2 linked regions of the Danio rerio genome follow. The protein of the gene in region 1 interacts with the protein of each later gene in a pairwise test. Links are inferred from orthologs where the notes say so. Each region holds a gene or a part of one and is shown in the gene's direction. Other genes may lie near its edges. The genes, in order: psmg1 and psmg2.

What was found.
Region 2: the proteins of psmg1 (region 1) and psmg2 interact in binary tests that used the Homo sapiens proteins (3 or more experiments, as listed by UniProt). The link is inferred for Danio rerio from reciprocal best matches to the Homo sapiens genes PSMG1 and PSMG2.

The regions. Positions count from the first base shown.
Region 1 is NC_133185.1:517,110-521,490, reverse strand, and holds the start of psmg1 (proteasome assembly chaperone 1), read left to right. Parts: upstream 1-1,313; 5' UTR 1,314-1,392; coding exon 1,393-1,517; intron 1,518-2,317; coding exon 2,318-2,406; intron 2,407-3,230; coding exon 3,231-3,388; intron 3,389-3,618; coding exon 3,619-3,681; intron 3,682-3,893; coding exon 3,894-4,092; intron 4,093-4,225; coding exon 4,226-4,347; intron 4,348-4,381. UniProt on the Homo sapiens protein: Chaperone protein which promotes assembly of the 20S proteasome as part of a heterodimer with PSMG2.
Region 2 is NC_133194.1:13,452,071-13,456,579, forward strand, and holds the start of psmg2 (proteasome assembly chaperone 2), read left to right. Parts: upstream 1-1,598; 5' UTR 1,599-2,193; intron 2,194-2,704; exon of another isoform or gene 2,705-2,787; coding exon of another isoform or gene 2,788-2,844; intron 2,845-3,232; coding exon of another isoform or gene 3,233-3,295; coding exon 3,296-3,404; intron 3,405-4,509. UniProt on the Homo sapiens protein: Chaperone protein which promotes assembly of the 20S proteasome as part of a heterodimer with PSMG1.

The DNA.
Region 1 (4,381 bases):
TTAGTGTGCCCATTTGAGCTCATCATATTGTATTCTTTTAATATTGTATTCTATTGTTGACCGAGAGATGAGGGGAGAGCGCGAACGCAGTCCCCCACTACCAGAAATTACGCAGTACAGATTCCTGCATTTGAGAAATTGTCAGAGGTCAAACTAGCCGATTTGTGCAATGGCTAATCCTCGCCCTGGGTGAACCACCTTTCTGATCATGGTATCGCCCCTGCCAGGTAAGTATGATTCCGTTATAGTACCGGAAGGGTCTTGACCGTCAGAAACATCCTTCTTGATGGCGGTGACTCTTCACTACGCCACACGTGAACCAATGCGATCAAACCGCACAATCCCGCTGTGTGTAGATGCAAAGATTACCCCTTCATCTATATATTTATTTATGTACTTATTTATGTATTTTTTAAAACAGAATAAGGACATTTTGCAGCGAACCACTTCCCATCATGCAACGGGACAGTCGAACAGCCAATGGAAAAGCACTACTTAAAACTAGCCTTTTTCAGAAATCAATAATCAGAATTTGTAAACTCAGGTTGAAGTAAAACTCTGGACAGTTTATCTTTTGTAGCTTCATATATTATAATCTAAAACAAACTAGCGAAAACATTCAATGAACACTATGACGTAGGCAACAAGAACGTGTCATGTACATCACTTCCGTGAAATCAAAACAAAGAGCGCCGACAGAGTTCAGATTTTAACTCCATGATCCTTAAATATATATTTTAACCATTAAAAAAGAACCATTTGTACGTTCAGTTGTATCCCCAATATGTTGTATGTATTTGTAATATAATCAGTATTTTATGATGGTATTTGTGGCCGTTCCGCACTTGTTTTCCTCAACAGAACGTGTGCAGTTACACATAATAAGATTTCGAAAAATCACGAAGCTTTGTGCACCATACAGCCATATAACACATACATGATCACATCAGTGCCTCTTTTAGTGGTTTCGACACAATAGAAGTTAATAAACATACAAATAAACACCTCAGCCTCTTTACATTCAGACACCTTCACTCCCGATCCAATACAGCCTGTTCAGGTGTATGAGACAGAGGAGCATGTGTTGAGGACGTCATGTAGTGCATTTATACAAGAGAGACAAGAAATGGTAACTCAACTGATAAGTTTAAGAAATGCAGAAATAAGTTTCAAAGGTCTATTAGAATGAGCAGAAGAACAGAAAGGAGGTGTTTGATGAATTTCCTGAGGGAAAACTGAAAGGAGTCCAGAAGGGGGCAGTAATGCAACAAACAGGATGCCAGCTGCCCTTAAAACCTAACGACGAAGAAGAAGAAGAAGCATCGCGTAGTGTTGCTCATTACACCCCGCCTGTGAGTTTTATTAATAAATTAGCTTGATTATCAGTGTAATATGGCGACATTCTTCGGCGAGGTGTTATCAGTGTATTCTCGAGCTGTGGAAGAGGATGAGTATGAAGACATGACGAATGAAAACGAGGAAGATGAGCAGATCCGCCGCGAAATAGAGGAGAAGAGGTGACATGCTCATCATATTTACTGATTATCTGATCAAACCTGTGACTGCAGTCAATATCAGCACTTTATAAGAGAAACGCAGGACGCTTTCACTTTCACTTCAGCAGCGCGGGTCTGTGACTCATCACGTGTCTCTCTTCATCATCATCTTCATCATCGCTGTGTTACAGTGATCCTCTATGGCGTTTAGCGATACTTAATGTCCTGTTTCTATCACAGCAACAGCACCACATCACACAGTTAGCCGTATTTACTGACCAAAACCACACTGTGGTAAATAAACACACTCTGCACTTCAACATGCTGGATTATTCTCATTTACTGACTCAACAACACTCAAGCTCAGCTCATTCAGACAGAGGTAAAGTTGGTTTGATATTGGGATATTCAGACATTCTGCTTAATCATTTATTTTCAGAAAAGTGTTCTTTGCTAAATCTAAATTGGGAGATCAGATTAGCAGTCAAAGACTAAAGTACAGCCATGTTTACAGTCAGTTATATAGTGTTGATGTTGTTTTGAACTCATACTTGTATGCTAATTCTGATTAAATATTCATATGAGTGTGGTAAACGATATAGAGACCGTTAAATTAATGAATGTGTGAATATAAAACCAACTTTACCTCAGTGTTACAGCTCTAGTGTTCAGTTTTGTTTATGTGTGTTTGTGTGTGTGTGTGTGTGTGTGTGTGTAGATTGAGTTAATATTCAGTGTTGTGTTGTATGTATTGTGTAGTGTGTGTGTGTAGGGTGTGTGTAGATATATTGTGTTACAGGTATTGTGTTGTGTTCCTCCAGGTCAGTGGAGGTGTGCTGGCTCTTGGGCTCTCAGGATGGGCCCCTGCAGTGTTCAGATCTGATCATTGGCGCGGGGCCGAACGCCAGCGGTGAGACCTCACTCCTGTACTCTAGACACCGCAGATGTGTGTGTGTGTGTGTGTGTGTGTGTGTGTGTGTGTGTGTGTGTGTGTGTGTGTGTGTCCTTGAAAATGTATTAATTTCAATGTTCTGTTTTCAGCGGTTAAAAAAGTGCTTGGAAATAGAATTGTGTAGTTGTGTAGTAATTACTCTCCTAGTAATTTATCTTTCTTATTAGTTACCTTTTGAAAATAAAGAAAATATTTTTGTTTTTGTATGAAGTTCAACATGTGATTTTATGTTTGGGGAGATTCACAGTGAGTCACTGAATGACTGAATGACTGTGTTAAATGAAAGATTCAGTGAAAGATGACATGGCGATTCCCACTGCAGGATTTGATCTTAATTTAATGTATGATAAATAAATATAATGTAGTACTGCGATATTCAACATTTGGAAAAATTAGATTAAGATAAAACATGACATGTAAGATGTGAATAGATGACATTTAGGAGAGTAAACGACAGTATATCAGTGCCGATAGACGACTGCAGGCAAACACACCATATACATGATTAAAATACTGCACTATACTATTGAACATTACATCAAACAACAGCAGAGCATGTGTTTGGACTGTGGGGGAAACCGTAGCACCCGGAGGAAACCCACGATAACACGGGGAGAACATGCAAACTCCACACAGAAACACACACTGACCCAGCCGAGACTCGAAGCAGTGACCTTCTTGCTGTGAGGCCACAGTGATAACCACTGAGCCACCGTGTCGCCATGAATAAAGATAATGTTTTGCTGTGTGTGTGCGCGTGTGTGTGTGTGTGGTCTGTGCAGGGTTTATTCGTGCGTATCTGCTGAGCACTGTAGGATGGACGGCCGTGGCGTGGCTCTCCTTCTGGAATGAGCGGAGCCGTGGGTCTGAGCGGCCGACTGTGGTCCCAGGGCCCGGAGAGCCCTCCTGTGTGCTGTACCGGCTGGAGAGCTGTCCCACTGTGAGGAGCGCACCATCACTATACACTACAGGAGAGCTATTCTGCCACTATATACAAGCTGTACACAGTGTGTGTGTGTGTGTGTGTGTGTGTGTGTGAGCTGGAAACAGCACACGGATGATGTTCTCCAGCTTTCTGAAACTGACCCTTTCAGGCTGTGATCCTCATTGTGGTGTTTTGATGACTGTCGCTTTAAATGTAATTGTGTGTGTGTGTGTGTGTGCGCGCAGGTGCTGATCTGCCAGTGCCAGGGTTTTGTGGCAGAGGATCAGCTCTTCCAGTTTACAGAGAAGGTGAGGCCTCATACAGAGCTGTGTGTGTGTGTGTGTGTGTGTGTGTGTGTGTGTGTGTGTGTGTCTGCGAGCCCTTCCTCATTGCTGTGTGTGTGTGTGTGTGTGTGTGTGTATGTGTGTGTGTCTGCGAGCCCTTCCCCATTGCTGTGTGTATGTGTGTGTGTATGTGTGTGTGTGTGTGTGTGTGTGTGTGTGTGTGTGTGTGTGTGCAGGTCTTCTCATGTGTTCAGACGAGGGATCTGAACGTCACCATTCTCTCAGACTGCTCCTCGGCTGATTATAAGACATCAGACTACCTGAGTGGGAGCAGCACACCATTCCTGCGCTGTCTGAAGACCAGCACATACACACACACCGTCACATGTCCACCGCTGGAGCAGCCCAACATCTGCAGCGGACTGGCAGCCGCAGGTACAACACCGCTATACTGCATTATTACACTACTGTACTGCTCACTTCACCATACTGTAGTCATGCATAACGTGTGTGTGTGTGTGTGTGTGTGTGCGTGCGTGCGTGTGTGTGTGTGTGTGTGTGTGTGCAGTCCTGAGCCACTGTCAGGTTCATCAGATCTCGGCTGTCCTCTACCAGTGCTACAGTGATGTTCTCCACCCAGACTCCGCCAGCATGCAGATGTTTGCAGCAACTCTGAGCTCAGTGCTGAAGGTGTGTGTGTGTGTGTGTGTGTGTGTGTGTGTGT
Region 2 (4,509 bases), on another chromosome or scaffold:
ATGTCTCTTGGTTGACCTGGGAACGCCTCGGGATCCCCCCGGAAGAGCTGGAAGAAGTGTCTAGGGAGAGGGAAGTCTGAGGTTTTCTCCTAAGACTGCTGCCCTTGCAACACGGCCCCAGATAAGCGGATGAAAATAATAATGATGATGATTACAGAGACATGGTAATATGAGGCTGTCAATCAAATTGGTGAGTGGGGAAACTGCACTGCTACGTCACGTTGCGGTGGACCTCAAAATGAAAAGGATTTGGATCCGATTTTAACGTTAGGAAATAAAAAAAGAGACTTATTGTCTTTATATCACCCCAATATGACTGTGGACACATTAAACGCACACAAAGTTCTGTCCAAACAGCTTACAAAAGAGGATTTTCATCATAGGTGCCCTTTAAGCTTTTGGATGAACAAAACTTCTCTTATTTTATAATACTTTTTGTGCCATTATTTGTGGTCAAAAAAGCATCAATGTTTGGATGTCAAATGAACGTCAAGATTTTGACATCAAATCGATTTGCATTTTTTATGTTGTTTTTTGACATCAAGGTGGCTGCATGGTTACTGTAGTATATACACATGAACATATTCAATACTGAATCCACAGATTGGCTCCTGTTAGTATTAAAAGTGCATTCAAAGAATAAGATGTTGTAAGTGTTGGTGAAGTGTTGACGTTGTTAGTGTTTTGCCTAGTAGCTATTATATTTTACAAGTGCACTAAATACTTTATGAAAGCCTGAAACTGATGACAGAAATGATTTCTTATTGATATCTGTGAAACACCATATTTCTGAATAATCCTGGAAAAAATACACATCGCCGTATCTTTATTGCGTTTGATTACCATATTCACCCTGATTTATCTCAAGTTTACTGAAATGGAGTTTTCACACATTTGTTTTAGAATAATTATCTATAATACCTTGCTCCTGTCACCTAAGAAGTGGAAGCCGAAGTGACAATCCACACAGGCTTCCTAAATGGACAGAAGATTGGAAAAAAGTTCAGTAATTGAACTATTCAACATTAAAGCGTTAATTTTAAGTTCTGTCATCATTCATTCACCCTTCAGTTTGACCAAACCTATTTGGGTTTCTTTCTTTGGTTGAACACAATGGATTGTGAACCTCTCAACCATGGTAGTTGTTTTTTCTACAAATAAAGTCAACAGGTTACAGGTTTTCGGATTTCTTTAAAATATATTCATTAGTGTTCAGCAGACGAAAGAAAATCATTAAGGTTTTGAACTACTTGGGGTGAGTACATTTATATTTTCTTGTGTGAACAACATGTGTTTTAAAGATATTTCAAGATTGCATTAGGGCACAGAAAAAGCTCATTTGTAACTGATGAAGAGAAATGAAGAATGAGTTTACTGAATTATTAATACAACAAAGACTAAAGTATTATTTTACTTTCCATCATCCATTTTCTGTACCTGAATACTGTTTGACTCTCTGGTTTTTGCTTTGCTTTATTGTCTTTATTTGCTTTCAATTTGTTTATTTTTTATACAATGTTCACACCCCCAAAAAAAAAAATCTGAATGATTTCCTTCAAAATAGAGCTATTCAATCCATCTGGTGAAATTATATTCATATCACAATATATATTGTATAAAAACAAAATATCGCAATGTCAGATTTTTCTAATATCATGCAGCCCTACAAGGATCCATCTTGTCTTGTTAATATCAATTGTTCAGGCTGCTGGTCTTGTTTTTTATATTTTATTTTTACATTCTTGGGTCCCAACTAAGGCATAATTTAAGCCTACTTCTGTTGCTCACAAGTAATTTTTTTTTCAATTTATTACCACAGTGTTCCCATTGTTTGATAGCTTACTTACAAAGCTCAAATCATCTCAGTCTGTGTTTCTTGAACATGACAGTGATTATTTTATCCTCAAACGGCCTCCACAGTCACCAGTTTCTAATCCAATAGAGCTGCATTTGGCTGTACTGGAACGACAGATTAATATATAGATGAACAACTGACAAAGCTGCAGTAAATGAGAGAGAGAGTATCATGTCCATTTTGAGCAAAATGCTAAATTTCCAATTCCTTGTCGAATATGAAGGAAAAAAAGCGGCTCTGAACGCAAGAGGTGCAACTCTCACAAGCAAGAGGCCGGTGAGATTTTTAGCGTCTAGCGCCATCTTTTGATCATCCATGTAAACAACCGATAAACTACAGTAAGTTGTACGTTTTAAAATATAATTTTAGTATAGCTGTATTATTTAGACTAATGATATCGAGTTGAAAATAAAATCAAAAGTAAAGTCTTTCACATCAGATTCACTTATTGAAACAATGTTTACATTAATTTATCAATTTACATTTAACAATTATATATATATATATATATATATATATATATATATATATATATATATATATATATATCAACACTATCATCGCAATTAATATAATCAAAGAGCATAGACGTTTTGTTATAATTAGTTTAAAGACTTTTATTTTGACATGTTAAAATGTTTTTTTTTATCGCAAAGATTATTATAACGGCAAAATTAAGATATATTAACGTCAGATCAAGAGTAAGATATCTTTAAATGTGCCCTTTTTTCTTCCAAAAAATATTTAACTTACACGTCGCAAATAATTCCTTTAGGTTTTTTTTTACTCAGGCATCAGGGCGTCCTGAGAGAATGACGCAGTATTGTTAGGTCCTTTTTTCACAGCGCAGGAAATTGAAAGTAAAAATCAGTACTGGTCCACTTAAACTCGTACACATTTCACTGCGAAATCAGTTATAAACAGTTTTTAAAATGTTCATTTCATCGGGGGATGCCGTTCCTTCTTTTAAAGGCTTTACTTTGATACTGGTAAGTATTTGAGCTTCATCATCATGACACATGCGGGTTTCTGTAAGCTGCAGTTATCAAACACTGAGCATTTAGGTACAGTTGGTTTTATACTCGCACAACAGTTCTGTGACAACTTGTGACACGGTCCTGGTATTGTTTACCATGCTACTTTCAAAATTTGGTCAGGAATGCATGCACGTATGACTTTAAAACAACAACAGCACTGTTTGATTAACAATGTTTAATAGTATTTGGCTACTAACGTTATTAATATGATTTCCCTATTTATATTTTGCAAAAAAAAAAAAAAAAACTTTTCTGAAAATATAATGCTAAGGAAAAAGTCTCAATGTGAGACCCCAATACACGGAGCTCCATATGACAGTTATTCCTCATATTCTCACAGCCTGCAGTATCTGTTGGAAATGTGGGCCAGCTCGCCGTGGATCTGCTCATCTCAACGCTAAATATGCCCAGAGTGGGATATTTCCACACAGACTGTCTCATTCCTATGGCTGGAAACAACCCATACGCTTCATCCACTGAAGATGCTGCTCAGCTCAGCACCAGCGCAGAAGGTAATGGATGGCTATTAGACCTTTACAGTACACATGAAATCAAAACTAACCATATTGATTTTGTTAGCTCACACTGCTAGTTTTGTGGTGAACAATACATCTGCGCATGTCATTAAGAAAAAATGTTTGCCCTTAGCTTTAATTAAAAGCTAAAAAAATGCCCTTCCTGTTTGCTTCCAGTTAAATTCTCAGATTACATCTGTCTGAGGTATTGGGTGGGGCTAACATGCTTAACCACGCCCCTCCAACTGTCAGTTTTGACCATACTATGACAACAAACAGAAAAGTTGATTTGGCTGAGTATTACAGGGTGTTCACGGAGTCTTAAAAAGTATTAAAAGTTGATAAATCAATGTAGAGAAATTTAAGGCACTTAAAAAGTCTTAAATGCTTTTAGGTATTAAATTTGATTGAATTTTTGATTATGCGATGTGTGGTTGTATGCTAAAGTTTGCCTGAAGTAAATCTGCAAATATCAGGATGCTGTTTAGTTTATTAAATCAATTAAATCTTGCTAGATTTGACGTCACTCTGCTTTGTTTACTGCAGTAACCAAGACAACACCGTTATTTCTGCAGTTCTTTAGGTGCCAACCTGCTAAATCACTAGATTTAATAGATTTTTATTCAGGATATGAATAATGTTTTAGTCTGGATTAGTTTCTTACATTAATATTTAGGATACATTAATATTTCGTTTATATAATGTAAGTTAAAATCTCGCTAGTGTTTCCGGTTAAAACCTATAATGATAAAAATGTTATAAAATATATGGAAAGTCTTAAAAAGGTCTTAAAAGCCATTGAATTTCAATCCCTGATTCCTGTATATACTCTGTTTTAGGTTATAATATCTCTCCGGAAACTTTTTTCTCAATCATTCTATATGAAATGCCTACTTTACTACATCCATTCAGATCGCAGTATAAAAAAACAAGCCACGCCTACTGTTTTCTCATTTACTATTTTATTTCTCTAGGAGCTGTGTCATAATACAAAAAAAAAATGTTCGTAGCTTCCAGTTCTTGCAAACTTTTAAGTGAAAATTCTGCTGCCGATTACTCATCTTCCTGTTGTTCCAAAACTGTTTGAGATTCTTTCTTCTGA